2 linked regions of the Astyanax mexicanus genome follow. Each later gene encodes a partner of the first gene's protein in a complex. Links are inferred from orthologs where the notes say so. Each region holds a gene or a part of one and is shown on either strand. Other genes may lie near its edges.

Evidence for each region.
Region 2: the proteins of tnksb (region 1) and usp25 are in contact, whole or in part, in a crystal structure (PDB 5GP7), measured with the Homo sapiens proteins. The link is inferred for Astyanax mexicanus from reciprocal best matches to the Homo sapiens genes TNKS and USP25. Residues at the interface, in NP_003738.2 of Homo sapiens: Arg836, Ser838, His842, Leu843, Gly846, Tyr847, Leu871, Asn876, Ser879, Tyr880, His882, Asp900, Trp902, Phe904, Glu909, Gln912, Lys913, Gln934, Glu935; in NP_037528.3 of Homo sapiens: Ser1046, Ser1048, Arg1049, Thr1050, Pro1051, Ala1052, Asp1053, Gly1054, Arg1055.

Annotation. Positions count from the first base shown.
Region 1 is NC_064429.1:11,652,854-11,669,126, forward strand, and holds the start of tnksb (tankyrase, TRF1-interacting ankyrin-related ADP-ribose polymerase b), read right to left. Parts: upstream 7,670-16,273; 5' UTR 7,583-7,669; coding exon 7,216-7,582; intron 5,372-7,215; coding exon 5,147-5,371; intron 3,360-5,146; coding exon 3,264-3,359; intron 3,179-3,263; coding exon 3,142-3,178; intron 2,252-3,141; coding exon 2,176-2,251; intron 1-2,175. Other genes in the region: agpat9l (glycerol-3-phosphate acyltransferase 3-like), read right to left, coding at 14,910-15,009, 15,110-15,189, 15,811-15,939.
Region 2 is NC_064427.1:6,131,882-6,147,837, reverse strand, and holds the start of usp25 (ubiquitin carboxyl-terminal hydrolase 25), read left to right. Parts: upstream 1-9,753; 5' UTR 9,754-9,933; coding exon 9,934-9,975; intron 9,976-15,956. UniProt on the Homo sapiens protein: Deubiquitinating enzyme that hydrolyzes ubiquitin moieties conjugated to substrates and thus, functions in various biological processes including inflammation and immune response.

The sequences.
Region 1 (16,273 bases):
CACATCTGCCCCATTATTAATAATATAATATATAATATTATAATATAATAATATAATAATATAATAATAAATATTAATAATATGTGGATATATCTAGGGATGCACTGAATAAAAAGCAGAACTATACAGGAGCTGGTCAACGAATTAGAATAATTTGAAATAGTGCAATCATGAAATTCTTTGAATGCATTTTTGTGCAGAAAGCAAATCAGGTGTTCACTGCACCTGTCCTACTCGTTAGACTAATCACAGAACTGGTTACCTGGAAAAAAATTTGCTCAGCTGAGCTTTCCAAAAGGCCCATTTATGCCATTTAACTGTGACACTGTTGTTTTATTGAATTAGAATAATGGAGAAACCGTTTCATTGAATTAGAATAAATGCTCGAATTTTTGTTTTCTGTGAAGAGTGTTCACTGTGCAGTATAAAGTCAGGGTTGAGTAGAATTTCTAAGTTGTAAAATCAATCATGGGTAAGCAGCGCAACCTCTCAACCGGAATAGTGGCTCAAATTCAAGCCCTTCGCCAACAAGGCTTGACCCAAACTAAAATTGCTGAGCAGCTCGGCATCAGCCAGTCTTCCGTCTGCAAAGCTCTCAAGAAAAACTGCAGCAAGCGCACCAACTGTTCCGGCGTCCGAAAAACTTCTGCTCGCGACAACAAGCAGCTGAGAAAGATCGCAGTCAGCAACCGTTTCAAGTCCACTTCCGAGCTCACCGACTTGTGGAACAAGCAGACCGGCGCTGACGTCTCCAGATCAACCACTTACCGTCGTCTGCGCGAACTCGGCTTCAAATCTCGTGTTCCAGCAGTAAAACCGATGCTGAACAAGAAACAAATGGAGAAACGGCTGAAGTGGGCCAAAGAACACGGCGAGTGGACTGCTGAAGACTGGCAGAAAGTGGTCTTCAGTGACGAATCACGCTTCTGCATCTCCTTCGGTGACCAAGGTCCTCGTGTCTGGCGTCGTGGTGGCGAAACCTACAACCACGAGTGCGTGAAAAGATCCGTCAAGTTTCCCCAGAGTGTTATGGTCTGGGGATGCATGTCCGCTCGAGGTGTAGGGAAACTCTGCTTCCTCAAGAAGACTGTCAATGCTGCCGTATATCAAGATGTTCTGGAAACGTTCCTGATTCCGACTGTTGAGGAACAGTTTGGCAAAGAAGACTTCATATTTCAACAGGATCTTGCACCGGCTCATGCGGCAAAGTCGACCAAAGATTGGTTCACTAAAAAACAGCAAGTTTTGGCATGGCCGGCCAACTCGCCTGACCTCAATGTCATTGAAAACCTTTGGGCCATCGTGAAGCGGAAAATTCGCGACAGAAAGCCTACTACGCTGGACCAACTGAAGCAGAACATCGCCACTGCCTGGGAAGCTGTGAGTGCGGAAACTTGCGACAAGCTGGTCAAATCGATGCCGCAGAGACTTCAGGCAGTCATACAAGCCAAGGGGGCAGCCACAAAATACTGAGAAAGTGATGATTGTAATTATAATAAAAATTATTCTAATTCAATGAAACGGTTTCTCCATTATTCTAATTCAATAAAACAACAGTGTCACAGTTAAATGGCCTAAATGGGCCTTTTGGAAAGCTCAGCCGAGCAAATTTTTTTTCCAGGTAACGAGTTCTGTGATTAGTCTAACGAGTAGGACAGGTGCGGTGAACCTGTCCTTGCTTTCTGCACAAAAAATGCATTCAAGGAATTTCATGATTGCACTATTTCAAATTATTCTAATTCGTTGACCAGCACCTGTATATATATATATATATATATATATATATATATATATATATATATATATATATATATATATATATATATATATATATATATAAGTAGATATATGTTACCGGATAAGTAAAAAGACAGAAATTTGAACCAAACAATGACATTTTCTTAAAAAAAAAATAATAAGACAAAGAAAATCCAAAAGTAATTTACAATAATAATTTATATATTATACAATAATAATTGAATTTATGCCTAACTCAATTTATTAAGAAAATCTGTGAATGCAATGTAAGGTATTTTGTATTCAGACTTCAGAAAAAAGTTTCTTATTGTTAGGTTTCAGACAAAAAAATATATATGATCGAATTATAGTGCATCACAGGATATAATGCAGTGTGTGAGTGTGTGTGTGAAGTGTGTGCAGGTGTGTATGAGCTACCTTGCGTCCATCGCTGGCGTGACAGTTGACATTGAGTGGAGTCAGCAGAGCCATCAGCTTATCCTCATTCCCACTCCTGAAAGAACACACACACACACACACACAAACACACATTTATACATATATATTTATTTACATTAGGTCATGCTGTAGATTCACTGGGCTCATTGAGTGCTTGTTAGTCCAGTAGGACGTGTTTGATGATCAGTCAATTTGAGGTATAATTGCTGCACATAAGCTTCCATTACTTTTAGTAGGGGCAGGGGTGGGACAAAATATTGCAAAATATCATATAATTTTCGTTTGTGATACATTATCAATACTCCCTAAGCCACGCCCCCTCCCCCCTAAAGTGCAGCATTATACAGGAGTTTCAGTGAAGTTTCTCCAGCACTAAGGCTGGGGCAGTGTTCAGTGTTAGCATTAGCCGCTTATTACAGCACTTGATTTTTTGCCATTCAGAGGTGAGTATAAAACGAGGTACGTGGGGCAAACTGCTAGCTGATAGCTTAATGTACATAAACGGAAGCGCTTTACTCACCCAAACAATCAGTTTTCTGTGTAGATTACTGTGCGACACCCATGTTCCTTACTATTGTCACTTAAAATGCACCTTATAATCCGGTGTGCCTTATGTATGAAAATAGACCAATAGGCGTTCATTGATAGTGTGCACTATAATATGTTGCACTGAGGAGTATTTTATCCTCTTTAGCAACACAGATGCTGTGAAGTATCGTAGAGAATTGTCTTGTGATCACAGTATTGTGATATCGTCACTATAGTGATACCTAGCATTAGCATCGTAGCTCCAGTGTAAATCTGAAGGAGCTGTAAAGATACGGAGGTAATGGGTATCCTCCTCATTCTGTTGTAGCACACTCCCTTAGCAACGGAGGGAGGGGTGGGTGTGGGGGGGTGTGGCTGCTGACACACACACACACATACACACACACACACACTCACCTCGCTGCCTCCAGCAGCTCGTCCTTCTTATATTCCCCTGTGGACAGAAGAACACACTGATCAGAACAGTGGGGGGTTACATAACAAAGGCACTACTCAGTGAGGTGTGTGTGTGTGTGTACCGGTGAGGACGGTCTTGGCGGAGGGGTCTGCGAGATCCAGAGCTGATTTGCCGTCTGTGTTTCTGATGTTGGGATCCGCACCGTGCTGGAGCAGCACTGAAAGCACATGCATAGAATATAGATTTTTAAATTAAATATACACAGATATACACATTTTCCAATATGTTCTGCATTTCCAGCTTCTGATGTAGGAAAAAAAACACTTTTACAATTTACAATAATCACAAAAAATTAAAGATTAGATTCTGTATGTTTTATTAAATTCACATATCGCACTAATTAATCTGATTGCATATATTTTGAGTCAATATCCACAATTCAGAATTCTGTGCATTAGAAAATGAGGAGTGTTTTGTAAGCTATGGTTGCAAATGTCTTAATTACACTGTAATAATGAGTGGTTATTTATTACAGTTTATTATTTTTTATTTACTCCTAAGTTCAATTTACTGTTCTGTATATATTGTATAGGCTATGTATCAGTATTTGCTCATTTTAAGCTAAAATACACAATCAATCAATATTTCCCTAACGTAGTATATCCTTAAAGCTGTTAAGGTTCACTGCAGTTTACAGGAAGCTGCAGTTCCTTGTTCCACCCCTACACAGCCAGAGCACTGCTGCATCCACTCAGGCTCGGCTCTTTCATTTTAATTTGCAGAATGTGTAAAAGTAGAGCGTCTCATAAAGGCAAGAGAATAAACAGTTTAACCCCACTAACATATACCCCTCCGCAGAGTGCTTCACTCAGCCCATACAGTGAGTAGCTATTAGCACAGCAATTCAACAGAGCTAACAAACACCACTAACCACACAAACCAGCAAACACTGCTGCAGACCAAACTGAACCTCCACCACCACCCAGTGCACACAGCTTCTCTACTTATATACACAGTTATATATGTATTCACCATCACTCAACTCAACTGAGGAGAAACTAGCGATTTCATGATTCAATGAATCGAAATCGAACTGAATTCTTATGAGACCTGACATTAACACCATTACTACACGCACACTACACACACACACACGATTAAACACACTCAGGCAAGAGTGAACCTGACTATAGCCACTCTCTCTCTCACACACACACATCCCAGTGATGCTGTCACTTTCTATCACACACACTCAGCATGCTGCCTCAGCAGTGTGTAAGCACAGAGGCATTCAGCACGAGTCTGAAACACACACACGATGCTTCTGTGTGTGTGTGTGTTTACCGCTAAGGTTTCCCATCGTTACTGTTACTGATGAGGGATCATCCCTCTCCACAGTGCATCAACAGCACCACTCTGTATATAACAGTGGTGTGTGTGTGTGTATGTGTGTATATACCGCTCTGAAAAAATAAGGGACCACTTGATGATGTTTTTCCTTCATTTTACCAAATTGAAAACCTGAACTGCTTGAATTTTTGCACCAGGAGTAAAGCAGCATAAAGATATCCAAGAGCAGTGTGTAAGACTGGTGGAGGAGAACATGATGCCAAGATGCATGAAAAAAACTGTGATTAAAAACCAGGGTTATTCCACCAAATACTGATTATTTCTGAACTCTTAAAACTGAATATGAACTTGTTTTCTTTGCATTATTTGAGGTCTGAAAGTTCTGCATCTGTTTTGTTATTTCAGTTATTTCTCATTTTCTGTAAATAAATGCTCTAAATGTGAATATTTTTATTTGCAAATATTTCTTGATACATTGCCTAATCCTAGACAGCCCATAGATTTGACTCTATAGAATAATTTGACCTTTAATGACCATTTCTGAGACATGCTAAGAGAACGTGGAAACCCGCAGATATTGAGGGCGGATCTCCTCTTTAATATGATGTAATTTAAATATCAGATACAGATGCGTGACGGTGCTGATCTGCTCACCGATGCAGACGTCGATCTTGCCCTTGATGGCGGCCTCGTGCAGAGGCGTGTAGTTCCAGTTGTCGCGGGCGTTGGGATCCGCCCCCTGGCACAGCAGCAGGCTGACCACCTCGGCGTGCCCGAAGGAGCAGGCGTTATGGAGCGGGATCAGCCCACCGTCATCCCGGGAGTGAACGTTAGCTCCAGTCTGCAGGAGATGCTCCACCACGTCCTTCCTGCCAAAACCTGCAGAGACCAAACAACAGAACCACATCAAAACCCGACCCTGCAGAACCAAACACACCCAGAACACCAGCAGAACCTCTCTGAGGCTGAAGCAGCAGCACTGACTGTAATATACGATCACACGCCCAGAACCGTTCCAGCAGATCCGCATCACAGCTGATCCAGGTCTATTTTAAAGAATCAGGCGTCGGCTATATTAATCCCTCCACTGCCAATCCGTTTATTTACACTGCTGTCAGAGACACTCCATAAACACACTTTATACCAGACTGCAGATATTAGGAACGGATCTACTAAAGAACTTCAATGCAGAAGGTTCTGTACGCATCTTTTAATCAATAACAGATGTTCCACAATCACAGCATTTTATTAATATTTGTTGTTTGCTAATGACAGCACAAGATATATACTATAATTTTGACCAATTACAGCTATTCACCAATCTTAACATGTGATCAATAATCATAATAGCTATTTTCCTATCAACTGCTCATTACCAATAATGACATTTAGTGCCTGTTTACCTTTTTCTGCTTTTAAATCAAATGGGTTTTGACCATTAGTTCCAATGGTCAAAACAAAAGCGTTTCCTCATCGGCTTACCAATCACAACCTTTGATTGAGGCATAATGTTCATAAATTACATCATCTGATCAAGAATGTTAGAAGATTTTTAGACATAGACATCACGTAATTAAAGATGATCAATGTATCAATCAAAGTAATTAAAGCCTCATGCTGTATTACTTATTGATGACGGCTGTTTATTTTCACCAAGAGCAGCATCTTATCAAAATTGGATGTTTGCTAATGACAGCCTAGATCAATAATTAGTGTTTACAAATAACATTTAAAATAAAAATGGGCTTACTATAATTTTTATTAATTAACTCATCAGTTAATAATCATAATATCTGTTTTCCAATTATGCTTTACTGAATTGCTGGTTACCAATAATAACATTTAGTAAATAATACCTCTTTACCCCTCACTGCATTTAATCAATAGATTTTGATCAATAGTTTAAATTTCCCAAATAGTTGATGCTTGCAAAATGTATCATTTGATTAAAAATAATAATACTAACAAGATTAATAATTTTAGATTTAGACATGTTTACCAATCACTTAAAGATGATCAATGTATTAATCAAAGTATTCAAAGCCTTATGCTGTACTACTTGAGTTAGGGTTAATTGATCACAACAGTCTATTACACAAATCAATAACCATATAATATCTGCTACCAATCAAACCCGTTGATCAATAATAACTGTTCATGCAATTTTTATCAATCATCACAGCATCCGCTCGTACAATTCACTGACCAATCACACTGTTCGATCAGTTATATCTGTGCATATATATATATATATATATATATATATATATATATATATATACACATACACACACACACACACTGCTCGCTGCTCGCCTATTACAGCTCCTGGGGGTTATTAGCTGTTTAGCTAGGCTAGGCTAGGCTAGTTAGCTCTTGGCTAATCTACTTCGTGACCATTATCGTTTATTCGGCATGTTTAGAGGTTAAATCTGTACCACATCTCGCCTTTTAACATTGTTATTGATCGCAATGCAGCTATTGATAACCCATAGATGTGTATTAATCGGTTAAATTAAAGTTAAATTCCGATAAAACGCTAACGTAGGCTTCGTTTGGGAATTCTCCGTTCCACCTTAACTAGTACAGCTGTTCCGTTCTGCTGCCTGTGGGAACATAATGTAACTGCAGCAGAATTTAAGGTGGAACGGAGAATTCCAACAGAAGCTGGAAAACAACCCGAAGCCCAGCAGCGCAGTGATTCCACAGATTCCCCGACCGACCTGCGGCGAAGTGCAGCGGGGTGGACTTCCTCCCCGCCATGTCCTTCGCGTTCACGTTCGCCGCGTCCACCAACCGCTTCACCCGGGACACGTCCCCGTTCCTGCAGGCCTCGAACAGCTCCCGGAAGGCGCCGCTGTCCTGGCCCGGGCTGGGGGCCGCTGAGGACGGGCTGGCGCTGCCTGCGGCCCCGCTGGCCGAGCTGCAGGCTCCGCTGCTGCCCGGCCGCTCCGGAGAGGCCTCCGCGGGGCTCAGCGCGGCCGTGTCCGCCTGAGGAGAGTCCAGGGGCGGCGAGGAGACGGCGGAGAGCCGCGGGGGGGACTGGAGCCCGCCGCCGTGGTGCTGAGACGAGCGCCGGGACACCGCCATTACACCCAGCCGTTACATACAAAACCCCGTACAGTCTCCCTCACACTATACCCAGATACACACACACACACACACACTCTGTCAACAACACAGCAACACACACACTTCCGCTCAGGGAGAGGCGGGCTTCCGCCGAGAGTCTCTGCACGATCAGCTGATACAGATATTACCATAAAACAGCAGAATAACACAGCTAAAACAGCACAGGCTGAATTACACAGCAAAGCTAAAAAAGTACAATCTGATTTACTCAGCAAAGCTAAAACAGCTGCACAGTCTGAATAACACAGCAAAGCTAAAACAGCACAATCTGATTTACACAACACAGTTAAAACAGCACAATCTGATTTACACAACACAGCTAAAACAGCACAGTCTTATTTACACCTCACAGCTAAAACAGTACAGTCAGATTTGCACAGCTAAAACAGCAGTACAGTCTGAATTACGCAGCACAGCTAAAACAGCAGCACAGCCTGATTAACACAGCACAGCTAAACAGTACAATCTGATTAACACAGCACAGTTAAAACAGCACAGCTAAAACAGCAGAGTCCGATTTCCTCAGTACTATATCTGTGCTCAGTACTAAAAGTGCTGTTTTAACTGTGTTGTGTTAATCAGACTGCTCTGTTTTAGCTGTGCTGTGTATGTTACACTGTGCTGATTCACCAGTCTAATTTAGTGAAGTAATGTTTTACTGTCATTTTTTTTGTGATATTCTGCTAATTGTACAAATATATTCACCTTGCAATATCAATACCTTGAATTCATTTTGATTCCCAAATTCCCAGATTTGGATTTGTATAATTGCAGATTTTTATATAAAAATCAATAAATCATCAATAAATTACATAATAAAAGCAGAAGTTATGACTTCAGTTTTCAGTTAGATTTCGGTTTAATGAAGAAGCATTGATATTAACAGCATGCTAACAGAGTCTAAGACAGTACAGCCTCTTTACACACTGAAATCTGATACTGAATTACAGTGTAGTTAAATACTCAGCAGTATTGTAATTCAGTAATTGGGTACAGCAGCAGTATTGGATTTCAAGACCCGGCGCTGGTCCGTGTTTGTGACCCAGAGTTTCAGAACTCTACAGGTCTGTCAGAACCAGTTAGTTTCTGCTGATGTTTGCTAATGGTGAGAGGGATGGAAGTGAACAATAGTGCCCTGTGTTGCCATGGAGACAACAACAAACAGCCGGCTGGCCCCGGATCAGCAGCAGCACGCGACCCACGGGACCCTTAGTAGTGCTGCTGCAGCACAGCAATGCTGGACCTGGACCAGAATCCACACTGCTGGGGGGACTGGGACTGAACTGGGCCTGTGTTTACTGGGCTGCTGGAATGCAGGTGCAGAATGCCCACCTCCTCTGGAGCTGCTGGGAGGATGAGCACTGGGAACAGGAGCCAGGGCTCTTATCTGAAGATGTGAGTATCTGTAGATAAACTCATGTGTTTACTGGGTTTAGATCTGTGTGTCAATTATATACAGGCCCCAGATCTGCTGCTGTTTATTCTATTATCTATAATCAGAAAATACATTTATAGTGAATACAGTCTGAAAATGAAATGAAGCTCTAACTCTACATTCCTAAAAACAATTTAGTTCAGAAATGCTGCTGTTCAAAGTCTTATTCATGAAGAATTATTTAAGAAATAAAGATAAACAGTCATTCACAAATGAGCTAACAATGTGGATTAGAATATTAGATATATAATATATTAATCAGCAGGATTATTTTAACAAGCAAAACATTATTACCAGAATCTGACGGATTAGAACTTGTTGGATAAGCATAATCATTAAAAATGGATTATCTGAAATGTCTAGACTAGTAAAATATACAGCTCTGGAATAAAAATAAGAGCCCACATAAAAAAGATGAGTTTCTTTGATTTTACCAAATTAAAAAACTTTAAACCAAGCTGTTTGAATTTTTGCACCAGGAGTGGCATAACATTATCCAAAAGCAGTGTGTAAGACTGGTGGAGAAGAACATGCCAAGATGAAAACTGTGTTATTTTAAAAAACAGGGTTATTTCACCAAATGTTGATTTCTAAACTCCTAAATATTTATCAATATGAACTTGTTTTCTTTTTATTTTTGCATTATTTGAGGTCTGAAAGCTCTGCATCTTGGTAACCTTGGAATTTGGGAGAACTGTTGTCTGTAGTTTATATAATAAAACAACAATGTTCATTTTACTCAAACATAAACCTATAAATAACAAAATCAGTGCTCTCTTAATTTTTTCAGAGCTGTATATATTAGTTACCGGTATATGGATTAATTTAAAGCAGCATTATGTTTGAACTGCCATTTCTAGCTCCTGGGCTCCCCCTACAGTCAGATAGCGGAATTTCAGAATTTGCTCTGCACACACATTTCTGGACAAGCTGAAATAAGGGTGAACTGTATTATTGTATTGCATCATTAATAGTTGTGTCAACAGAATACAAAATATACTTTTCTGAACATATCCTGGATATCATCTTTATTTAAAGAACACTGACCTGCTGCACATTTTATTACAGAAGCTGTAATAAATCCTGTTTAATTAGACTAAGGTAAAGTGTGTAGGTTGTGATGATGTGTGTGTTGTTTTCTGCAGGTATTTTGGAACTCTCTCTGTGGAGAAGAGGACGCTGCTGGAGAAAGCTTTAGAGGTGCAGATCTTCCTCCATCTGCTGGAAGAATCAGAACAAATGGCAGCTTTATAATGAACCAGATGGATGTGTGAGGTTTACTGTGTGTGTTCTGCTCCACAGGCTGAATGTAGATCTGCTGCAGCTGGAGGTAAAGAAGACGTTCGCTCTGAGGGTCAGCAGGGTGAGTTATACTGATCACTGTGAGGTCAGAGGTTACCTCAGGCACATGGTCAAATGATGAGGTTGTTTTTGCTGCTTTTTGCAATAAAGCAAATGGTTATTTATAAAAGAGGGAAAATCAGGCTTCTGAAAAGCTGCTGTGACACGGTTTTGTAATTGTTTTTACAGATAAACTTAAAATATTAAACGTCTTAGCATGTAAACAACTGTTTATAGTATTAAACTGAAGACCCCCTCTTTAGTTATTCAGCCAAGGCATGTTATGCACTAAATCTAATGATGCTCATTGCTATCTTACACCCCACCAACAGTCTATTTTCACTCCTTCCTTCTGCCTGGTTTAAACAGCAGCAGAGCTTCTGAATATATCTACACTGACGGGCGTGGTGTTCTGGAACTTTACAGCCAAAATTAACCACATCCATGATTAATTAAGAGAACCAGTGCGTACTTTTCCCATCGTTACGATAGCAAAGACACACTGACACACCCTAAATAAAGCTGCACGGTGCACAGTTTTTAGCATTGTCATCAGTTAGCACCCTAGGTTAGCATTATACAGTAGTTTGTGTATCCAAACAGCATGGAATAATGTGCACAGATAGAAGTTGTAGAGAATCTTGTTGTCTAAAATCATGTAAGTTCATGTATATAATTTATTTAAAGTTTGAAACAGACAGTAAGAAGCATGTTGATTATATATCTTGTTAGCTACACTGCACTGTCTGACCTTTTGAGTTATACATTTGTACGAGCAATGTGTGTGTGTGTGTGTGTGTGTGTTCAGGTGTGCAGAAGGATAAGTTCAGTAATGATGAAGAAGGAGTAAACGACGGACAGCTGGAACATCCACCCTCCAAAAAGTCATCCACGTGCACTGTACTGTAGTGCACACGCACACACACACACTCACACACACCTACCTCTCAGGTGGATACCTGGACATAATGGAGTTGATGATGTTAAGGTGTGGTGTTGGAGATGGCATGTGCCGTATATCCTAACACTGATCTTCTTCAGTATTCTAACTCTGTATTTATAAACTGCTTTCTGTTTGTAAGCTAACGTCTAAATAAACAGATAAATGGGTAAAATAAATAATATTTTTATTAATATATAAAGAGTTATGATACTTTTTATAGTTTCTTTTTTATCTTCTGATCTCTAGGTATAATTAGACTTTTATTTTTTATTTCAGTGTCTTTAAGACTAATAAATGTAAATAACCTCTGATTGTTCTGATTGGCTACTTATTGCATTGTGCCTCATTTACCATAAAATTAGCTGCATTCCATTTACCTCAGGATTTGGATGTTGGAGCTGGGAATCAGGTCTTTTACACTAACTAGTTTTAATCGTTAACATTTTCAATAATTTTCTAATTATTTACTAGGTCATTATTTTCAGCATTATCTCAGGTTAGTATTATTAGCAGTGTTAGCAGTTGCAGTGGATAATAATGAATTACTGTATACAGTATTTAAGAGCTTGCAAGTAAACTTCTGTGGACTGGAGATGTGTTGGCAGGCTCAATATATATATAAATATATTCATACAAAACTTAAATTTTTCTCTCTCTGTTACACATAAAACCCACCAGAGTAAGTTAGTGTTCTCCTCCAAGCGTGTTGAGGTGCAGTGGTAGTGTTTTAGAAGCAGCAGCAGTTTGAGGAGATGTAGTGCAGTGCTAGTAGCACAAAAATCAGATTAAAATATATATAAAATACTGTTTACACACAACTCTTCCACTCTTAAGCTTCCATTTCACATAATGATAAACTTTTCCGTTTACAGTGTGTTAAAGATTCTCTGCAGTACAGTTTAAACACTGCAGCTCCAGCTCTGAACACTAGAGGGCGCTGTTGTTGTGGTTTTGATTTGGTGCTGCAGTATGAGGTGTTCTCTGTAGTGTATTTACTTTAAATATACTTTATACTGATGAGAAATAAAAATGAATATATGAAAAGTAATAAAGCTACTGAACTTTCTGATACAAATAGCTTCTGCCCTGTGTGTCTTTTTCTCTTGGAGGAAGTAAACGAGACAAATGGTGCCATAAAACACACAAAAACACACAAAAACACACACAGGCTAATAAACACACACATATACACACACTCATAAACACACACAGGCTGTGTGTTTTACCCTGACCTGCTGAGAACCCTTTGACACCCACAAAACATTATTTATTTTAAAGTGAAATTCCACCAAATGTTGAAAATTCTCTGTATTATTCAGTGTGTAAAATTATTATTAAAACTGTAGTTTTAATGTCAAATAATTATACTTTATAGTAGAAATATAGATATTTTATTTACTTTTCAAACCCACCACTGATTCTGAGTTTATATGGTATAATAATGATGGCGATGAAGATGATATGGTGGGACATCTAAACTAATGCACATTTTCTTTGGTTACTTTTTTAAGCCAAAAATTTAGACCCAAAGTCTTTTCAAAATGTTTAATAGAATTTGACACCAAATCACTCCTAAAGAGTTACCATTAACAATTTATAATGCAAAAATTAAAATGTTTAAAATGTGTGTACTTCCCGTTCAACACACACATGTACACAAGCTTGTATTAATAATAGTCTTTTATTATTTTCTATTTTTTTGTGATTAAAGCATTTTACTTGCATATTTGCAAATTATATGGTTATTTTTCAATAAAAATCTTTTATTTTATTAGCGACAGTCTGTAAGTTTTGTGGATTAGGGGATTTGGAGCCCTCTCTGGTGAGAGTGTGTAATTGCAGAGAGCACGCTGAAGAGTTCTTTTAATGCAGGTTAATGTAAATAAATTACTGTGTGAAAGTCTTTGTTTTTGAGTATAATATTGTTCTGATCATTTTATTTATTTATGAAATACTGACATAATGCTTTCTGCATATATAGCAATAACATCCAGCAAACCTACCAGACCACTCTGTTTATATATATGAAAAATAAGTATCTCCAAAACAGCAACTTTATAGGAGAGAGAAAAAACTCTCAAAACTAATTAAGGTAATTTTGAAGAGTTTCTATTGGTCCGTTCATTAAGAAATTTGGGCACAGTGTAAGGGACAGTTTGTATAGTAAACTAAAAATGGTCAAAAATGGAGATGCTTGTTTTTCATTGCACAGTGATGATTTTTACCAGACTTCTATTGTAGACTGAACTGAAGGAAGGGAGGGGTTTATTTGTCTGAAATTCCTTTATTGAGGAAAAATAATCATCACATATCTGCATTTGGCACCATCTAAAAACATTTTCTGTCATCAAAAAAAAATAAATCAGTGCAACCTTTTCACTTTCTCCCACATCAGAACATCACCAGCTTTAGCAATTAGCAAAACGAAGAGCAGGACAGAGTGATTTCCACGTAAACAATAATATATTATTATTATATTCCATTAGAGCTGAGACCTGAGATGGGGGACGACGGTCAGAGAGTTGGTTCCTCAGGAGGCATCAGATACAGACCCCAATAAATCCCCTCACTACAGACAGACATACAGACAGACTGATACAGGCAGCTGAGGAATAATCTGAGGCTCAGAACCTCCTTGGCTCTGGACCTGAGGTCACTGTGGAGAAATCTCCTCTGGGTTGGAGTCTGTGATTGGTGGGGTCAGTTGCTGGTCTGTAGCTGGTGAGGTTGAAGGTTTTGTGTTTGATGAAATTGGGGTGTGGTGGGTTTGGGCTCTTGGAAGTCAGTAATTGGTTGATGACTGGTTGAGGTTGAGGTTGGTGGGGTTGAGTCTCTAATGGTGAAGTTGGTATTTCAAAGTTATGTAATAGGTTGTGTCTTGGAAGTTTGTGGTTGTTGTTGACATTTTGGAGGTCTGTAATTGGTGGGTTGATATCTAGAAGCTCTGTGGTTTGATGTTTCAGTGGTCTGTGATTGGTGGGTTTGGAGTCTTGGATGTCTACAATTGCTACATTTGGAGTCATGGAGGGCTGGGATGTCTGTAATTGGTCAATATAAAATTCAGTTTAAGAGTCTTGGAGGTCTGTGACTGGTGGGGTTGTTGTCTTGAAGGTCTGTGGTTGTTGGTGTTAATGTCGCGGAGGTCTGTATTTGGTGAAGTGGATATTTCTGAGGTCTGAAATTGGAGAGTTGATATTGATGTCTCAGAGGTCTGTAATTAGTGGGTTTGGAGCCTTGGATGTCTGTAATTAGTGGGGTTGGTGTCTTGAAGGCCTGTGATTGGTGGGGTTGATGTTTTGGAGGTCTGTAATTGGTGGGGTTGATGTTTTAGAGGTGGTTGATGGATTTGGAGTCTTGGAAGTCTATTATTGGAGCATTTGGAGTCTTGGAGGTCTGTGATGTCTGTAATTGGTCAATATAAAATTCAGGTGATTTGTAATGGGGGAGTTTGGAGAATTGGGTGTCTGTAATTGGCAGGTTAAGAGTCTTGTATGTCTCTGATTGGTGGGATTAGAGTCTCTCTGTCATTGGTGGGTTTGGAGAATCACAGTACTGTGATTGGCGGGTCATTCGCTGCTATCGTCTCCAACCACCATGCTGCTGTACTTCTTCTGCTGCTCTTGTTTGTAAGTTTCCTTCACCTTAGCTCTCTTCAGACCACCGTCCCTACACACACACACACACACACAATTATAATGTATATTATAATATTATATTGTCTTTCACTATTTTATGAATATGATATGAAGTGTAGAACGCTGCTCACCAGGCCAGGTCCAGCAGCCCCCCCTGATGTGCGATAGCAGACTTCACCCTGTTGGCAAACTGCACTGCATCTTCTCCTTCCTGTACACACAGGAAATGAGTCAGCAAAGCCACAAAGCACTGCGTAACCAAATGCGTAACAGAGCTGGGTTCAGGACTCTGATTAAACCCAGACTGCAGCAGAACGTCTGAATCACACAGATCCAGCAGAGACAGCCAGGAGATCAGTACCTGAAGTGTATTTCTTTACTTTAACACTGGAGCTACCAGGCTAATACTGTCAGTATTGGAAACGTGTGTACAGCAATTAGCATCCTGCTAACTCCGCCTCTATAATAACTGCTGCTGATGCCGTAGGATTGCCGAGTAGCATCACAGCGCTAACGCTCGGAGGAAAGCGCAGCGACTCGGTTCTGATACATCAGCTCACAGACGCAGCCTTGTGCTGATCCACATCACCCTAGGAGTGATGAGGGGAAAGAGAGAGCGCCATCTACTGTATTGTACCCACCCAGAGAGAGAACAAGGACAACTGTGCTCTCTCGGGGCTCCGACAGCTGATGGTAATCTGCATGATTGGGATTAGAACCAGCAATATAGATTTTCCACTGAAAGGAAAATTAAGTTTAGGATATTTCTTAATCCCTCTCCAGAAGACTGAGCCTAAATGTTTACTGAACTAAACTATTCTGTGTTCCTCACCTGTTGGGTCACGGGCGGGAGGTACCAGACGTTACAGACGATGGCCCAGCTGGTCATCATCCTCAGCAGGTAACTCACCATGTTATACTTCGCACTGTTCCAGAACGCATCCCCAAACTGAGGGTCGTACTGCAGAACAAACACACACACACATTTTTTTGTACTGTATTTCTTTCCATATACAACATAAAACAAAATATTTTGATATACAGTTCAATCATCATTAAAATAGAATTTTCTGCCCCAATTTAGGAATAAAGAAATCAGCACCTTTTCTAAATATATAAATGCGTTAACATGTGATTAATCTATAAACATTACGTTAATGTTTTTAATGCAAAAGAATCATGTGACCAAGTTTGGTCACAGCTTCCTTCTGTAATTTACTCTTCTGTAATTCACAGAGTCTGATGATGTTATTAGCATTTTAGTGGTGTTTAGTCTACTTTTTATTTATATACAT
Region 2 (15,956 bases), on another chromosome or scaffold:
GATCTTGTAAGTCACTGTGGATAAGAACATCAGCTAAATGTAAGCCATGAATGGAACACCAGTCACCAGTGGTTTTAATGTTTTGGCTGGTTGGTGTAAAGTGATGCTCCAATTTTTAAATTGTAGATCAAGTTGAGCAGTTGTTCTCTTCTGTCTCTCTATACTGGAATTTCTTTCACAGTTTCACTTCAGGACAGATGCAGCATGTATCCAGGGCTTTATCTGACCAACTCCGACTCTTCCATCTCGCCCTCGTGTCCGCCTGCACTGCAGTAGCCGACTTGCTACCCAAGCCCTGACTCCCCTTTTTGCTTAATCCTCTAATGAGTTTCCTTTCCTTCAACTTCAAATAACCTTTCCTCTCCATAAACTCCAGCCTTAGATTCTTATCATGCCTGAACTGCCAATAACCCCTTATTTCCTTTGGCTCCAGAACAGAGAGGCGAGCAAAGGCACGAGTCGCAGGTTTAAGCCGGGGTCACCGCTTAAAAGTTCACAATCGGCCGTTTGTCTGTCTGCGGCTTTGATATCTGGAGGTCTGCTGGTAGGCGGCGGGGTTGGATGCAGTACAGAGGTTTGCTTGCTGCTGAAATAAAGGCTGGCGAAGAGCGAAGGTTTCGGAGCGACAATCTCAGGTCACTGCGAGTCGCGGCGCTGGTGCGCTGGAGTTTAAGCACGCCTGGCCGGGTCAATGTTTAACCTCGCCTCACTGAGGTCCTCAGCTTCTGTTCAGAAAACACACACAGGAAGGAGTGTAATTGCATTTTATGGCTGGTTGGTGTGATTGCCATCACGAGCGAGTGTCGAGAACAAAACAAACTTCAGCTCATAAAAGTAAAGGTGTTGTAAATGGTTAATTTGGGAACATTCTGTGCAAGAACCTTTAAGATCCATTCTGTGTAAAAAAAAAAGAGGACTTTTGTGGATGGTTCCTTAAATATGGACAAATCAAGATACTATTTTTAAATTTTCTTAAAATTCTGTTTGTGAAAAAAATGGATAAAAACACATTTCTTCTTCTCTATACTGAATGGAAAAAAATAATAATTATTAAGTTTTATACCTTATTTTATAATTTTAAATTTAGCTTGATCAGGTCAGAAAATTAAACTGCTAAATATTACACTGACCTCCTACCATCTACAGCCCATCAACAAAGAGATACAGAGAATCTGGTTTCTGGAATCTCTGTGTGTAAAGAACAAGGCTGACGGTCAGTAATGGATGCTGGTGATCTTTGGGCCCTCAGACGACACTGTATTAAAAACAGGAACTTTCTCTTAAGGGTGCGTCCCAGTTGTGTACTAATTACTAAAACCTAGAGCTTTTATAAACCTTTATATAAATGTCTAGGAAGATCCATTACATTTGGACCTTTAACAAACTTTATTAAACACTTCAATATCATACAGGGACCATCAATACCTTCTCACAGTGTGGTTCTCAAAATTATAAGTTTTTTTTTTTTTTACCAAATTGAAAGCATCTGGAATGTGATCAAGAAGAAGATGGGATGATCACAAGCCATCACACCAAGCTGAACTGCTTGAATTTTTGCACCAGGAGTAAAGGCATAACGTTATCCAAAAGCAGTGTGTAAGACTGGTGGAAGAGAATATGCCAGGATGCATGAAAACTGTGATTAAAAACCAGGGTTATTCCACCAAATATTGATTTCTGAACTCTTAAAACTTTATGACTATGAACTTGTTTTCTTTGCATTATTTGAGGTCTGAAAGCCATTTCTCATTTTCTGCAAATAAATGCTCTAAATGACAATATTTAAAAAAAAACACTGTTCACTTTACTGAAACATAAACCTATAAATAGCAAAATCAGAGAAACTGATTCAGAAATGTATTTTTTCCAGAGCTGTATTAATCAATTTTGTTTAAAATTGGTGTAGAATCTTACATATGTCCAAAGCTCTTCTGTGTGGTTCTGTAAGGAATCAATATTTGTAGTTTCCAATTTCAACCTTCTCAGATTTAAAGTGTGCACAGGTTTCCCCCCTGACCCCTGCTGAAGGTGGGATTCTTGAAGCTCCTGACTGAGTCTCAGGGGTCACAACCTTTGCCTCTATGTGCATCTCGTCTCCAAGCCGGAGGTGATGCGTGCAGCTGTATGCCCACCCTGCGTCCCAGCAGGCCCTCCTTCAATACCACGGCAGACAGCGCTAATCTACCTTCCTTTTCCATTAACACTGCAGGGTCTTCAGCGGCGTGGGCTCGGCGGACCCCCGCTCTGGAAGGCAGGCGGAGAGTGTGTTAACCTCATGTCTTGGATGATTAGTTAAAGAGCTTCAAATTGATTCACGCTCAGACTTTTTCATTTGCGTTGGAAATTGGGTCAGGCAAAGATAAATAATGGCAATGAAAGGAACGTCGATAAGCCATGCATTCCTCGCCCCGAAATCAAGCGTAACTCTATAATTGGGACCTTTAATGGCTTCACAATGAGGTTTGTTGTTTGGGATGGGGAGAAAAAAAACAAAATCTATTAATACATGCAAGTAATCTGATTTTGAAAACATGGGAGACCCCAGATTTTTCTGGTTTTAATCTTTGTTAGCCATAAAGCTCCCTACACTACTCTCAGACAGCAAAATTCACTTTGGCCAATTAAAATCAGAATCAGCATGTGTTTTTTGCCTAAAAATGGCGTGAATGATTTTCGCTAACTGACTCACTGCAGTGTGGGGAGTTTGATCTGGATCCTGTTTAAATTTAGGTCCAATTCAGAGCATGATACAGGAGTTTTTGTCCACACCACTTGTGTCAACACCCCAGTTGCAGAGTTTACCACGTGAAATTGCCCCCAGAAGTTTGTACCAACACACCGGTTGCCAAATACTATAGAAATTGGCCCGAGTTGCTTCTGCAAGCAACCTGATTAAACCACACCACTTTTGCCAACACCCTAGTTGCAGAGTATACCATGTGAAATTGTCTCCAGAAGCTTGTACCAACGCATCGGTTGCCAAGTATACTATGGGAATTGGCTTGAGTTGCTTCTGCAAGCAACCTGATTGAACCACACCACTTTTGCCAACATCCCAGTTGAAGAGTATACCATGTGAAATTGTCCCCTGAAGCTTGTGACAACACACTGGTTGCCAAGTATACTATGGGAATTGGCTTAAGTTGCTTCTGCAAGCACCCGATTAAACCACACCACTTTTGCCAACACCCCAGTTGCAGAGTATACAGTGTGAAATTGTCCCCAGAAACTTGTACCAAAGCACCGGTTGCCAAGTATACTATGGGAATTGGCTTGAGTTGCTTCTGCAAGCACCCTGATTGCAAACTATACTACGAGAATCAGGCTGCTCCGCTTGTGCCAACACCTTGGTTGTTGAGTAAAATGCGTGAATCGGCCTGAGCCGCCTCTGCCAATTCTCCAGTTGGTGAGCATAATATGGGGACTGGCCAGTGCAACTTGTGCTAAAACCCTGGTTACCAAGTATAATTTAACAATCGTCCCACGCTTCTTGTGTTAACACTTCAATTGTTGAGTATCATATGAGAATCAGCCCACAAGAAGTCGCTTGTGCCAGCAAGCTGATTATTGCTAATTATTATAACTGAATCAGGACTGCCACTTGTGCCAACACCTCGGTTGCTGAGTATAATAAGAGAATCTGCTTGTGCTGATTGCCAAAAATTAATTCATCGTGCTTTCTAAAGAAGTTTGTGTGAAGACAAAAAACTTTTAAACTTTTACAAAGTTTAAAGAACATATACTATATGCAATTATCTACATTATATAATCTCAAAAACCAGCCCGATTATCTTAGCATGGGCCAGGAACTAGTATCATGTTTCCGTAGCATGGGCCAGGAACTAGTATCATGTTTCCGCTCAATCTGCCACCATCTCCAGCGCGTTTGATAGGGTGATCTTTTGGAGCTTTGAATAAGTCCTTCCGTGCATGACCACCCCTGAGCACGGGTCACGCACTCCCAGAGTAAACAGTTCCACAAACCACACTCAAATGTGAAAGGGTGGCTCGGTGTCAACCAATCTCGTGGAGGAACCGGCTCGAGATTAGAACTTCGTGGCTTCGGAGACGGAAGGTCACGCAGGGGCCACGCCAAACATATTTGTGCTGTGGGCTCGCCGAGATTCATTTCTACTCCCAAAGGTAAGAGTTAGTAGACTTTCCACACAGCCCAATACATCAGACTGACCCTTAGGTAACCTTTAGCGGAACAGTTAAGATATATGTCGGCAGTGCCGGAGGAGACGTTATGGGGTGGTTCAGCAGCTCCGATACTTCTCAGACGGACGGTTTCGCTCTGCAAAATAGCCATAATGATTCAGTTGTTTTGACATCGCCGGCTCATTTTGCCAAAGGGACTGACATTGGCCGTCCACAGGCTCGGGTCATCCGCTCCAGCCCCCCTCCCTGGTAAGAAGACCCAAAGGCTGCAGTTCCACTCACTATTCCATGTCAGGCGGTTCTTGTGGCAAGACCCGGTGAATAAATAACAGTGTCCTTTATCCAAATCCATCTAGCTTAGACTGGTTCATTCTTTCTGCAGTCATAAAATCAATACTCTGTGCGCGCTCACATCTAAATGAAGATAGAGGCACGCTGGAGTTAAACAGGCGTTCAGGCAGAGGTAAGCCTTTCCACTGCGGCCGCAGACACAATTCCTTTTGTTGCGCATCGTTATGAGTCCGTTTGTCGCGCAGCTGTCGAGCGGTGTGACATTTTCAAAATGCTTTCTGCGCTTCAGTGGTGAAAGCCTTCAATATGAACGGATGAGTGGGTAGTTGGATTCTGAAGAAATCTACCACATGTCTAGAGTTTATTCTGATTAGAAATAATGCAGGACGAGTCTAGTTTAAAAAATGAAGGTGCTACAAAGGATTCTTTGAGCGAGGCTATAGAAAAAACAATTTGGTTCCATAAAGAACCATGTTGCAATGAAGATGTCTGAGCGTGAAATCCTTCACTTGTTGTAATGCTCCTTTGTCATCTATCTATATCCACTTGTTCCTGGTCAGGACCATGGTTGGCATGGTTTCCATTCATTGCTCTCATCACTGACCTCGCATGTAAAAGCCGGTGTTGTGCCAAAATCTGCACCCCGCCAGGAAAAGCACCCCCTCTCGGGAGCGTGCACCCATGTCTTCTTGATAAAAGCGGAGATAATTGGTTTAGCTAACTTTAATAGAAACATGCTTCCGAGAGGGGTGATTTTCACTGCGAGGTGCAGAGTTTGGCACGCTTTCAAAATAAAAGTTTAATTTTCTGCGGTATATTTTATTTGGGGGGACAAATCCACCTAGTTCTGATATTCCCCCTGGTTCCTATGCACTTGATTTACTTTAATGATTTAGATAAAGTAGGTGATGTATCGGAAGTGGGAATGCCTGGCCTTCCTCCAGGAAAACACTGGAAATGGTTAACGCACCAACACACTCTCTCTCACACACACACTGCAATCACAACTGTTTCATTAGTAAATTCACTTTTATTTTCTTAGATGTCTAATTTACTTTTAGATTTTATGCATATTTACATAAAGCTATATCTACATGCATTACATTTGCATATAATCTCTTTGATGTTCTGTCCAAGGCCTTTCAGAAATCCACACCGAGCTGAGACACAGACCACCTAAAGTCATCAGAAGATTCAGTAAAATGTGTTATAATCATTACTCCAGATGACAGTCTGAAGGTGACCTTGATGCTCTGCAGGCTGAAGTTGCATCACTCTGCTTATCTGAACAGAGCCGCTCTACGCAGCGCCGTTCAATCTGGATAAATGAAAAACAGGCATCAATAAATCATGGCCAATCTGATTCATGTATTTAATAGAAAAGTCTATTGTAATCGAATGCGCTTCACACAACAGAAGGAGGAAAAAGGTCACTGCTTAGCTCTGCGCCAGTGGAAGCTTCGCTGGAGCCTCAGAGGACATGACCTTACTTACAAACAATATGGTCTTACATGTATCCTATATTGCGGCTTACAAATAACAGGGTTATGCAATGCTGTGCTCTGAGGAACTGTTGTGCACTACTGCCACCTGCTGTACCGTCCGTCCACTCCACTCAGTCTGCACACTGTTTAAACTCACAATTAGTTTAAACTCAAATAAATTAAGCTTGTTTTATGTAAAACTGGATATTTCCAAATGTTACTCAACTATTTTGAGTTGTGGCCACATATACACCTCTGGGAAAAATCAAGAGCCCACTTTAGTTTCTGAATCAGCTTCTCAGATTTTGCTATTTATAGATAAATATTTGAGTAAAATGAACATTGTTTTTTTATTCTATAAACTACAGACAACATTTCTCCCAAATTCCAAATAAAATCATTGTCATTTAGAACATTTATTATCAGAAAATGAGAAATTGCTGAAATAACAAAAAAGATTCAGAGCTTTCAGACCTCAAAAAATGCAAAGAAAACAAGTTCATATTCATAAACTTTCTTAAAGTTTAGAAATCAATATTGGGTGGAATAACCCTGGTTTTTAACTCAGTTTTCTTGCATCTTGCCATGTTCTCCTCCACCAGTCTTACACACTGCTTTTGGATAACTTTATGTCTTTACTCCTGGTGCAAAAAAATGTAAGCAGTTCAGCTTGGTGTGATGGCTTGTGATCATCCATCTTCCTCTTATATTAGACATAGATACATAGATTATATTCCAGAGGTTTTTAATTTGGTAAAATCAAAGAAACTCATCTTTTTTTTCCCAGAGCTATACATTAACATTGTGTGTAGTCATTCCCACCAGGCTTCTGAGCTGCTAACTCTGTGTTGGCTGTGTGCTATGCTGTTCTCTCGGTAGCATTTTATTACTAAATCTTACTTTCTAATCTATATTTTTCTTAAATTAAATAAAAATAACACAAATACATAAACACAAATAAAAAATATATATTTTATTAATTACCTTAACATTTTCACCATGGAATTTTAAGTACAACTAGTTCAAATGGGTTGAGTAATGTTCTGAATTCTGTTTTGTAATGAAGGATGATAAGAATAAAAAATGAGTGGTGCCCTCTGCTGGGGAAAATATCCTTATTAATATTGGTCAGATCTGTGACTTGGATTTTGAGTGAATCTCACTCTTTTTTTAACGAACAATAATGTATTTCAGTTTTTTAGAAATGGCATATGGATGGATGTATAGATGGATGGATAGATACATAGATCTGATAGATACATCAATCAAGACAAATCAAGATATATACGTAGGCTGCCTTGCATTCCAGTACAGTTTAAAGGGCCACTAAAAGCCCCTGATTTTTGCTGACAGGCGTAGTTTGGGCGGGGCACTGGGTGATGTATGGGTTTAGAGTAGGGTAGGAGGGAGAGCTCATTGAGTGAGCTGGGGGTGGTATTATTGATTGACTGATCTGCATATAGTGATATGTCTGCGTACCAAAGTACACAGACACGTCATCCGCGTCTATAGCATAGTTGAACCTGTGAGGGTGCTGCGTTGGCGAAATTTCCCAAATAAAAGCGTTTTTAAAACTGTTTATAAAAATTTTACGCAGGACTGGTAAGTTTCAAAACTTCAAAGGAACATATTTCAGCTATTTTTGGAAATATATATATAGTTTAGGGTTTCGTGGCTCTTTAATGCAGCACAGCAAACTTTATACACACACACTTTTACTGCAATGCTCTTTACACACGTGTAAAAAAATGACATTGTTAGGTAATTAGCATGGCGTTGACCTCTAAATGAACTTCTTTACATGTAGTTTACATGCTCTCTGAAACACCCCCACCCTCTCTCTTATAATAGTGGATAATGTGACCCCCCGCCCACGCAGAAGGTCACAGTACAGCTCTGCAGAGGCAGGGAGACCACCTCTGACTGCCGCCCACCACAGCACCAAAGCCCCTTTTTACAGAACTATCAGTTTTTCTCTGCTTCAACCACTGTGTGTGTTGAGTGAAGGTAATCAGTGTAAAATTTTATTCCAGAATATTTTGGAACATTTCTATTTTGTATACAAAATTTGAACACAATAGTACGATCAACTGCCACATTTACATTGTTTCAAAAAGTGAAAAAAATAACAAAATTGTAGATAAAAGTTTATATAATATAATAAAGGTGTGTGTGCTTCTCTATCTTGTGTGAAACAAACACTGGACTATCACCAGTCTCATCTTTATAAACACACGCCCAAACATTTCTCACAACCTCTTTCTCAGAACACGGAAGAACCATGGTGATTTAGAACATCACTGCACAACTGAGCTGCTTTTTATAAACTTCTTTACAGGGCTAAAAAGTTGTTTGTAATTGTTTTAATAGAGTCTAAGTGAATAAATGAAGTGTTTTGGGGTGTTTATTTGCAGAGATAAAATTGGTGACAGTTTTAATCCAGTGATAAATCCAGATGCCAGGCAGTGTAAGCCAATCATCTCCTACTGTGAACTAAATAACTCTCATCAGATACCAAACATATCTTGGCTGATCAACTCCATATGGAGTTGCTGGTGCTAAATCATGTTAATCAGATTTATAACTGAACTTTAGCTCCTCATTTCAACACTCCAGTTATTTTTACTTGGAGAGAAACTGATCTTTTTTTTTCTCCATTGGATAATTGAGACTGAATGAATAAAATGTGAATGAATTATTTTATAATCCTGCTCATTTAGTAAAAGCCCAGAAGGCCATCCGTACCAAACCAGACTCCCAACTTTCTCTTTTTATTTATATTTCTCTGCTGTGTTTATTTCTGGGTCAGTTAAGTTTCTGTTCTTCGTTTCTGAACACCAGTGATCCACAACGAACTGGAGGATACAGCCTGAGCCTTGATCATGGCATGGTGACAGTGTACAAAAGGAGGAGAAATGTGTCTTTCTCTCTTGCCCTTTGTTACTCACCTGCACCTCTCTCCCTCTCTCCCTGTCTCTCTCTCTCTTTTTCTGTCTTTCTCTCTCGCTCTAAAAATTTGTTTTACTGGATATTGTATATCTAGTCATTTGCGGGCCTCAGGGAGCCCCTATTAAAGGGACACTTTAAAGGGACACTAAACCCCCTGTTTTTAGCTGACTCCACTCTCAACTCCAATTTGAAAAATGCAAACAAAAAAATGGGAGGGGTAGTTTGGGAGGGGCACTGGGTGATGTATGGGTTTAGCAGAGTTAAAACTGATAAGGCCCTGCAGAGGCGGCGATGACCACAATAAAGTTTTTTTTATTTTTTATTTAGGAAATGTTTCTAAAAGTTTAAACAGGACTAGTATGTTTCATTACTTCAAAGAAACACATTTCAGATTTCAATGGAAAAAATATAGTTTAGGATTTAGTGACTCTTTAATACACGGGAGACAGCCTGAACTTCAGTGACAGGTGGGATCTCTAATATTGTGAAGCTGTAGTACTGAACACTTAATACTAGGAACACCATACAAGCATTGACTAATGTTTTGGGAATGTTATGACGTTTCTTATATATTTTTTCTGTGCTTCCAGCTTTCAGTTTCCTTTTATTATTATGTGAAACCTACGAACACACAATATACTAACATACAAAAAAAATAATCTAATCATTTTATTCACCAAATTTATTTATTTTATCCTGATAAAAAATGAATTTAAATAAGAACACTAAAATTTAAGTTATTATATCTCGCAGATAAACGCAGGTTAAGTGAAATAAAGCAGAACTCAGTGAGAATAAGTGCTGAGCTGGTTCAGGGCAGCGCTAGGTTTCAGTTTCGGTTATTGCTGTCTGAGCTGGCGGCGCTCCGGCAGACAGCACTAATGGAGCAGTGTGCGCTGATGGAGCCCGTGGCTGCGCTCTCCAGCGGGGGCTCCGCCTGAACTCCGCTCCGGTAACCCGCACCTCAGCCCCGCCGGCTCGGCTCGCTCGGATACGCGCTTTATTCCTGAGTTCAGTTCATTTCAAACCCTCCTGTCCGTTTCAAGCCATGACCGTGGAGCAGAATGTCCTCCAGCAGCATTCCCAGAAGGTAAGGCTAAGCTAAGCTAGGCTAGGCTAGGCTAAGCTAATGTTTTTGCTCTGCGCCAGTTTGTTGTGCTGGAGTTCGATTCAGTTGAGGGAGCCGATTCAGTAGGACTGTCCGTTTAAATGGACCGAATCCACTTCAGTCTGCCACATGATTTAGTAGAAGTGTAGTAGAGTAGTAATATAGTCAGTGCTTAATTACATGAGATGAATATGTTTAAAACCAGTTCAATTTAAGTTATTTATTTGCTCCCAGTAGCAAATACAAGATTAACAATAATAGCTTTAACAAGGCTGTAGCTGTAGTGTATTTTGTTTATTTATAATATATACAGATTAACAGAATGAAAAGTGTAGTTCATATAACAGTTAGTGTATTAATTTTTATAATACAGCAATGTATGTAACTGATGTACACACATTTATCTATATTGGTTATATTGAATGTGTTTAAGTAGTATACAGTAGGGCTGTCCAATACATCAATGTGCACAATTCAGCATGTGCAGTCACATTTAGTTAAAAAAAAAAAAAGAAAACCTTTCGCAGTTTGATATAATAGGAAGATCTGCACTGTTCTTATTTTTCATAAGAACTGTATAATATATCTACCTGTGGCAGAATATGTCTTCGCAATTTAATTCGTTTTATACCAATCTTGACATTTCAAAACAAGGACGGTGTATTTCTTTGTTGTGATAGGTTTTCATATCACAGTAGGTATTGCAAAAGAACAATTCCAATGTATCGTGTCCTCAATATTGTGCAGCCTTAGTATGTAAAATATTTTATCTATAGAGCTGGATTCTAAACTAATAAGAAGTGTATAGTATTTTTAATCTGTAGCAGTAGGATACAATAGTCAAATTATAGGAATATATAACAGTATATTTAGACTGTAGCAGTATGTTATATAACTACAGAAATAGTATATGTATTGGTGAGTGTGGGTTCTCACAGTAGAACCATGTTTGTTGTCATTAGTTTAGATACTTTTGTCACAGAAGGATCGTCCAAGTAGACCCACAGTAAATAAAGAATCTCAAAACTTTATGACTTCAAAATAAGATAATTTTTATGATGTTTAAACAATATAATAATAATAATAATAATAATAATAATAATAATAATAATAATAATAATAATAATAATTTATGATTATTATTATTATTATTATTATTATTATTATTATTATTACTACTACTTTAATAGCATTATTATTCACTTTCATTATGGTAGTTTTTTTGGTAATATGAACATTATTATTGTTATTATTATTATTATTATTATTATTATTAGTAGTAGTAGTAGTAGTAGTAGCAACAGCAGCACTTCTGTTTCAACTGAGTTTGACTCGTGAATCGGTGCCACTGATTCACTCGATCGACTCGGTTCAAATGAACGATTCATTCATCGCAGTTTTGGGAAAGTTAGCTAAGATAAGCTAAGCTTAGTGTTTTGTGCCTCACCAAAACTTACACTCCTCTCCCTGTGTTCTTACAGCATTCAGCGGACAGGTTCACTCTTGTTTACCCGATTAAAGTTGATAAACGCGGCTGAACGGCTCTTTTAGGTGGAATAACAGAGATTGGAAAGTTCGCTAGCGGGCTAGCCAGCATGCTAATGTTGACATAGCTGCGTGACACGCCTAGAAACGAGTTCAGCGCGCTGGGTCTGGATAACCTGCAGCCCGTTCTGTATAATTATGATATTAACTTAGTTAACTGATGTAGTTACAGGTATGTAACATTATAGTGTTATGTCTGGTTTAATTACACCATATTGTACTTAACATGCCAGGTAGCACCAGGCTAACGCTAACTAGCAAGCTAAACCTGGCTTAGTTTAACTGTAGTGTGAGAGAGACTGTGCTAGGAGTAGCTTATGCTAAACCTGGAGCTAAACCTGCCTGATAATGTGAATAAATCCGCAGTGAAATTGACTGGTGAAGAGCTAGTGTGTTCTGTATTGTGTTTTACTATTTTAGACCATATATTCAACTCTAAAAGCACACAGTCTAAGCTTTTAAACTGTGTTCATACCACAAGCAGAGTCACAGCTACAGATAGGATACAGCTAAACCCCAGGCTGTCTGATTTCAGGTCTGGCTGTGGTCCAGCCTGTATCAGTATCATTTGAACTCTAGTTATTATGAAGTGAGCAGACATGCCATGTTTACACGACTTTGGATGTTGATAATCTGGCTTAAAACACAGCTAAAATCTACACGTTTGATGTGTACCTTTATCTAATGTTGAATATATGTGTTGTAACATTTTTAGAGAAGAATTCCTCTGATATTGCAGTGGTTAAGATGCCTAAAACACAAATCCAGCCATATGAATCACTGTCCATAACCGCCGACACAACACCTCAGTGTTTTTAACATGGTGGAAAATCCAAAGAATAAATACAATACAATACAATCTAATACAATGTTTTAGGCCTAGAATGTTTTATTTATATAAAGTGTCTCAGGGCTTAAAACAGTAAGGCTGCACAATATACAGCTCTGGAAAAAAGAGACCACTTAAAAATGATGAGTTTCTTTGATTTGACCAAATTGAAAACCTCTGAAATATAATCAAAAGAAAAATAGATCATCACAGCCATCAAATCAAGTTGAAGGAGTGACATGAAGTTATCCAAAAGCAGCATGTAAGACTGGTGGAGAAGAACATGCCAAGATGCATAAAAACTGTGATCAAAAACCAGGATTATTTCACCAAATATTGATATTGAAATATTGATTGACAATACTTTTATTTGGAATTTGGGAGAAATGTTGTCTGTAGTTTATAGAATAAAACAACAATGTTAATTTTACTCAAACATAAACCTATAAATAGCAAAAGCAGAGAAACTGATTTAAAAACTTAATTTTGGTCTCTTAATTTTTTCCAGAGCTGTGTATATGTGTATATATATATATATATATATATATATATATATATATATATATATATATATATATATATATATATATATATATATATATATATATATTGTTTCAGCATCATCTTCGTAGTGCACACATGCTTATTAGTCATTGGTGATTAATCACAGGACATGCAGTGAATCAGGGTCTTTATTAGTTACTGTTTACTGTTTACAAAATTGACTGAATGTATGAAACTCTTTATCATTTCTATATTATTTATACTAAATAAAAGTATTAGAAGTAGTAGTATATTTTTGAAGTTAATAATGTGTTTTTGTCAAATTGCCAGGAATATCATTATAGCATTATTTTGTTGCAGCACAACAAAATATCTTTGCTCATTAGATTGTTTCAGTATATTAAGGTAGTGTATGTCCGGCAGTGTATTCATAAGCATTTTATGTAATAGCTTTCCGTTAGAGAGCTTTTAGAGGCATTTAATGCTTCAGACACAGCCACTGTGAAAACTCCTGACTCAGTAAATTTCTCTTAAATGGAGCATTTTACATCAGACATTTTTTACATCAGACATTTTTACATCTCTCATCTCTCAACCTCATGCCAAAAAATTAAATATATAATTTTAGTGTTGTATTTAGTCTTTGTTACTAAAAAGAGGCAGAACACTGGACTTAGTAAAAGCCATAGTAGCTAAATATTAGTTATACAGTTATATGCCAGAAGTCAACAGGCAGAAATAGATAAATTGAGCATGAAGTGTTAATGATTGTGGTGTCTGGCTGGAATTTAATGAAGAAGGCCCAACACACAGGTGCTGGGGCATGGCAAAAGTCATGAGACATGATACTAGTTCTTATTTCATGTCATTATATTCATTTTTAGAGAACTCTTTAGGACATCAGTATGATATGTTTTGATCCTAAACAGTCTGACTGTTTTCAGATTGCTTGGGTCAGATTTCACAGTTGTGAAATATATTGGTTCTATCTCAACCGGGTTCATGGTGGTTGGCTGTCTGTCAGTAAAGGAGTTTGGTGCACAGATGATTTGAGTAGCGATTAGCTAATGGTGTTATTTGACACTGCTGCTGAGTAGTGGAGTTATGAGAGCAGTGATGATGTGTAGTTGCACAACAACCTAAACAACTGAGTGCAAGATCTAGGAACCGACTTACCTAAACTGTGAGAGTGCAGATATGTGAGGACCTTCATAGTGAAATAATCACAACATATGACCATATGTTTTGTAGACAACTGCAAAAAAAAGTATAGATAACTTCATGCACCTTGAATATCTGGATTATTTCTGAATAAGGCCAAACCACATACAAATACCAGTGTAAACACACCCAATACGCGTTTAAAACATACAAATACAATCACTGAAACCACTTCAGGAGGTATATTATGACACATATTATAGCAGTGTAAACATATCTGTCTATACATGGCACATTTAACAAGCAACTCTCCTTCCTGTACAACTAATATGCCAGTTATAATTGTCATACGAGAAGTACATTTGCATACTTTGTCCCACACAGCAATCAGATTTCACGCTAGAGTGAGACACATTTGAGTACCAAGAGTAAATGCATTTGGTTGAAATCTAATCGGGATACAGTCTATATAGACTTGTCTTAGATCACCTTTTGAAGTGGTTTGAGTGAACAGACATGGTTTAAATCTGTTTAAATTTGCTTCTTGTGAAAATTATAAATGTAAAGCTTTTACTATCTAGAATTGGTGTCAGAATAATTTTGGTTTACAGTATTTATTTCAGATTTTGTGCAGAGGTTTTACACACATTGTTTTGTATTGTTTTAGGGAGTATAGTTGTCTGTTTTGACACATTTGAGAGTGAATGGTTCGGTATGACCTTTTCTGACACATGAGCTCCTTCTTCTCACCATATGAAGCTTTTAAGGTCTTGAGCTACGAGTGCTGGAGCAAGAAACCCAACAGTGTACACTGTTTCTCTGCAGGAGATCCAGGAGAACACAAATCTACCTGACAGACCTGTGTGTAGAAAAGAGCTGACCTGACAACCTGTCTGTCAGTCTTGACAGCCTCTCCTTAAACCTGTCAGCGAGGTGGATGCTTTCATTGTATAACAAAGCTCAAAGACAATGTTCAGCAAAGTCAGATGGTTGTCTAAGTAGGGCAGATTTTGTTTTACTAAGGGTGTCCTAATCATAATTTGTTATATGGGTGATTTTTTTTTCATGCAGTATGTTGGCTAAATTTACACTGACATTACTTTCCATTACTTTCTATTGGCTAAGTTTACAGTATAAAAATGTATTAGTTATTTTAAATGGGCAATCTGGCATTCATTGGCTCTAGCAAGTGTATGACAGTATGTTTTAAGAAAACATAAATGAACACACACAGTGAGGAAAGTAAAAATACAATAAAAAAAAGTAAGTAAGTTTGTTAAAATTATGTTGGTTAAGAGATCCTGAATGTCAATTTTGATACATTTTTAATGAACTATCCAGTGATGCATTAAACCTCTCTTGGTTGCCCATTGCCCCAAGAGGAAACCACTGGGTAATATCCTGGCATCAACATAATTATGATGGATTTGGTTGGTTAGTGATTCACACTGTAGAGTAACCGTAGATTCCATTCTGGGGAGGAGTGCCCTGAATCTGATTTTTGACTGCATTCCGGTGTTCTTGGCACTCTATATTGTTTTTCAGATTATTATACAAAGAGCTGTTCCCTGCACAAACACGACACGGAGAAAGGGCGGCTGCATTATTTATTGCTCCATCTTTGCAAAAAGGTGTGGACACTGTTTTCTCTACTCCTGTGTCTCTGGGCAACTGCTTCTCTCCCAAACACTGCTCAGTGGCAGGGAACTGGTGATTTAGAGCACTTTCACTGAGTGGGTTTGCTGGTGGAACTCTCTAGGAACTCTGTAGCCACAAGGATTTGCTTTCTGGAAGCAGCCGCCCTCCATATGGACATCATCGAGCCTGTTTTTGTACATGATCTGTGAGAAAGCTGTGCAGTTCTGTTAAGGTCACTTGACCATATTGTGGTCAGATTGTGGTTTTGGCCTTTCCTTGGGAGGAA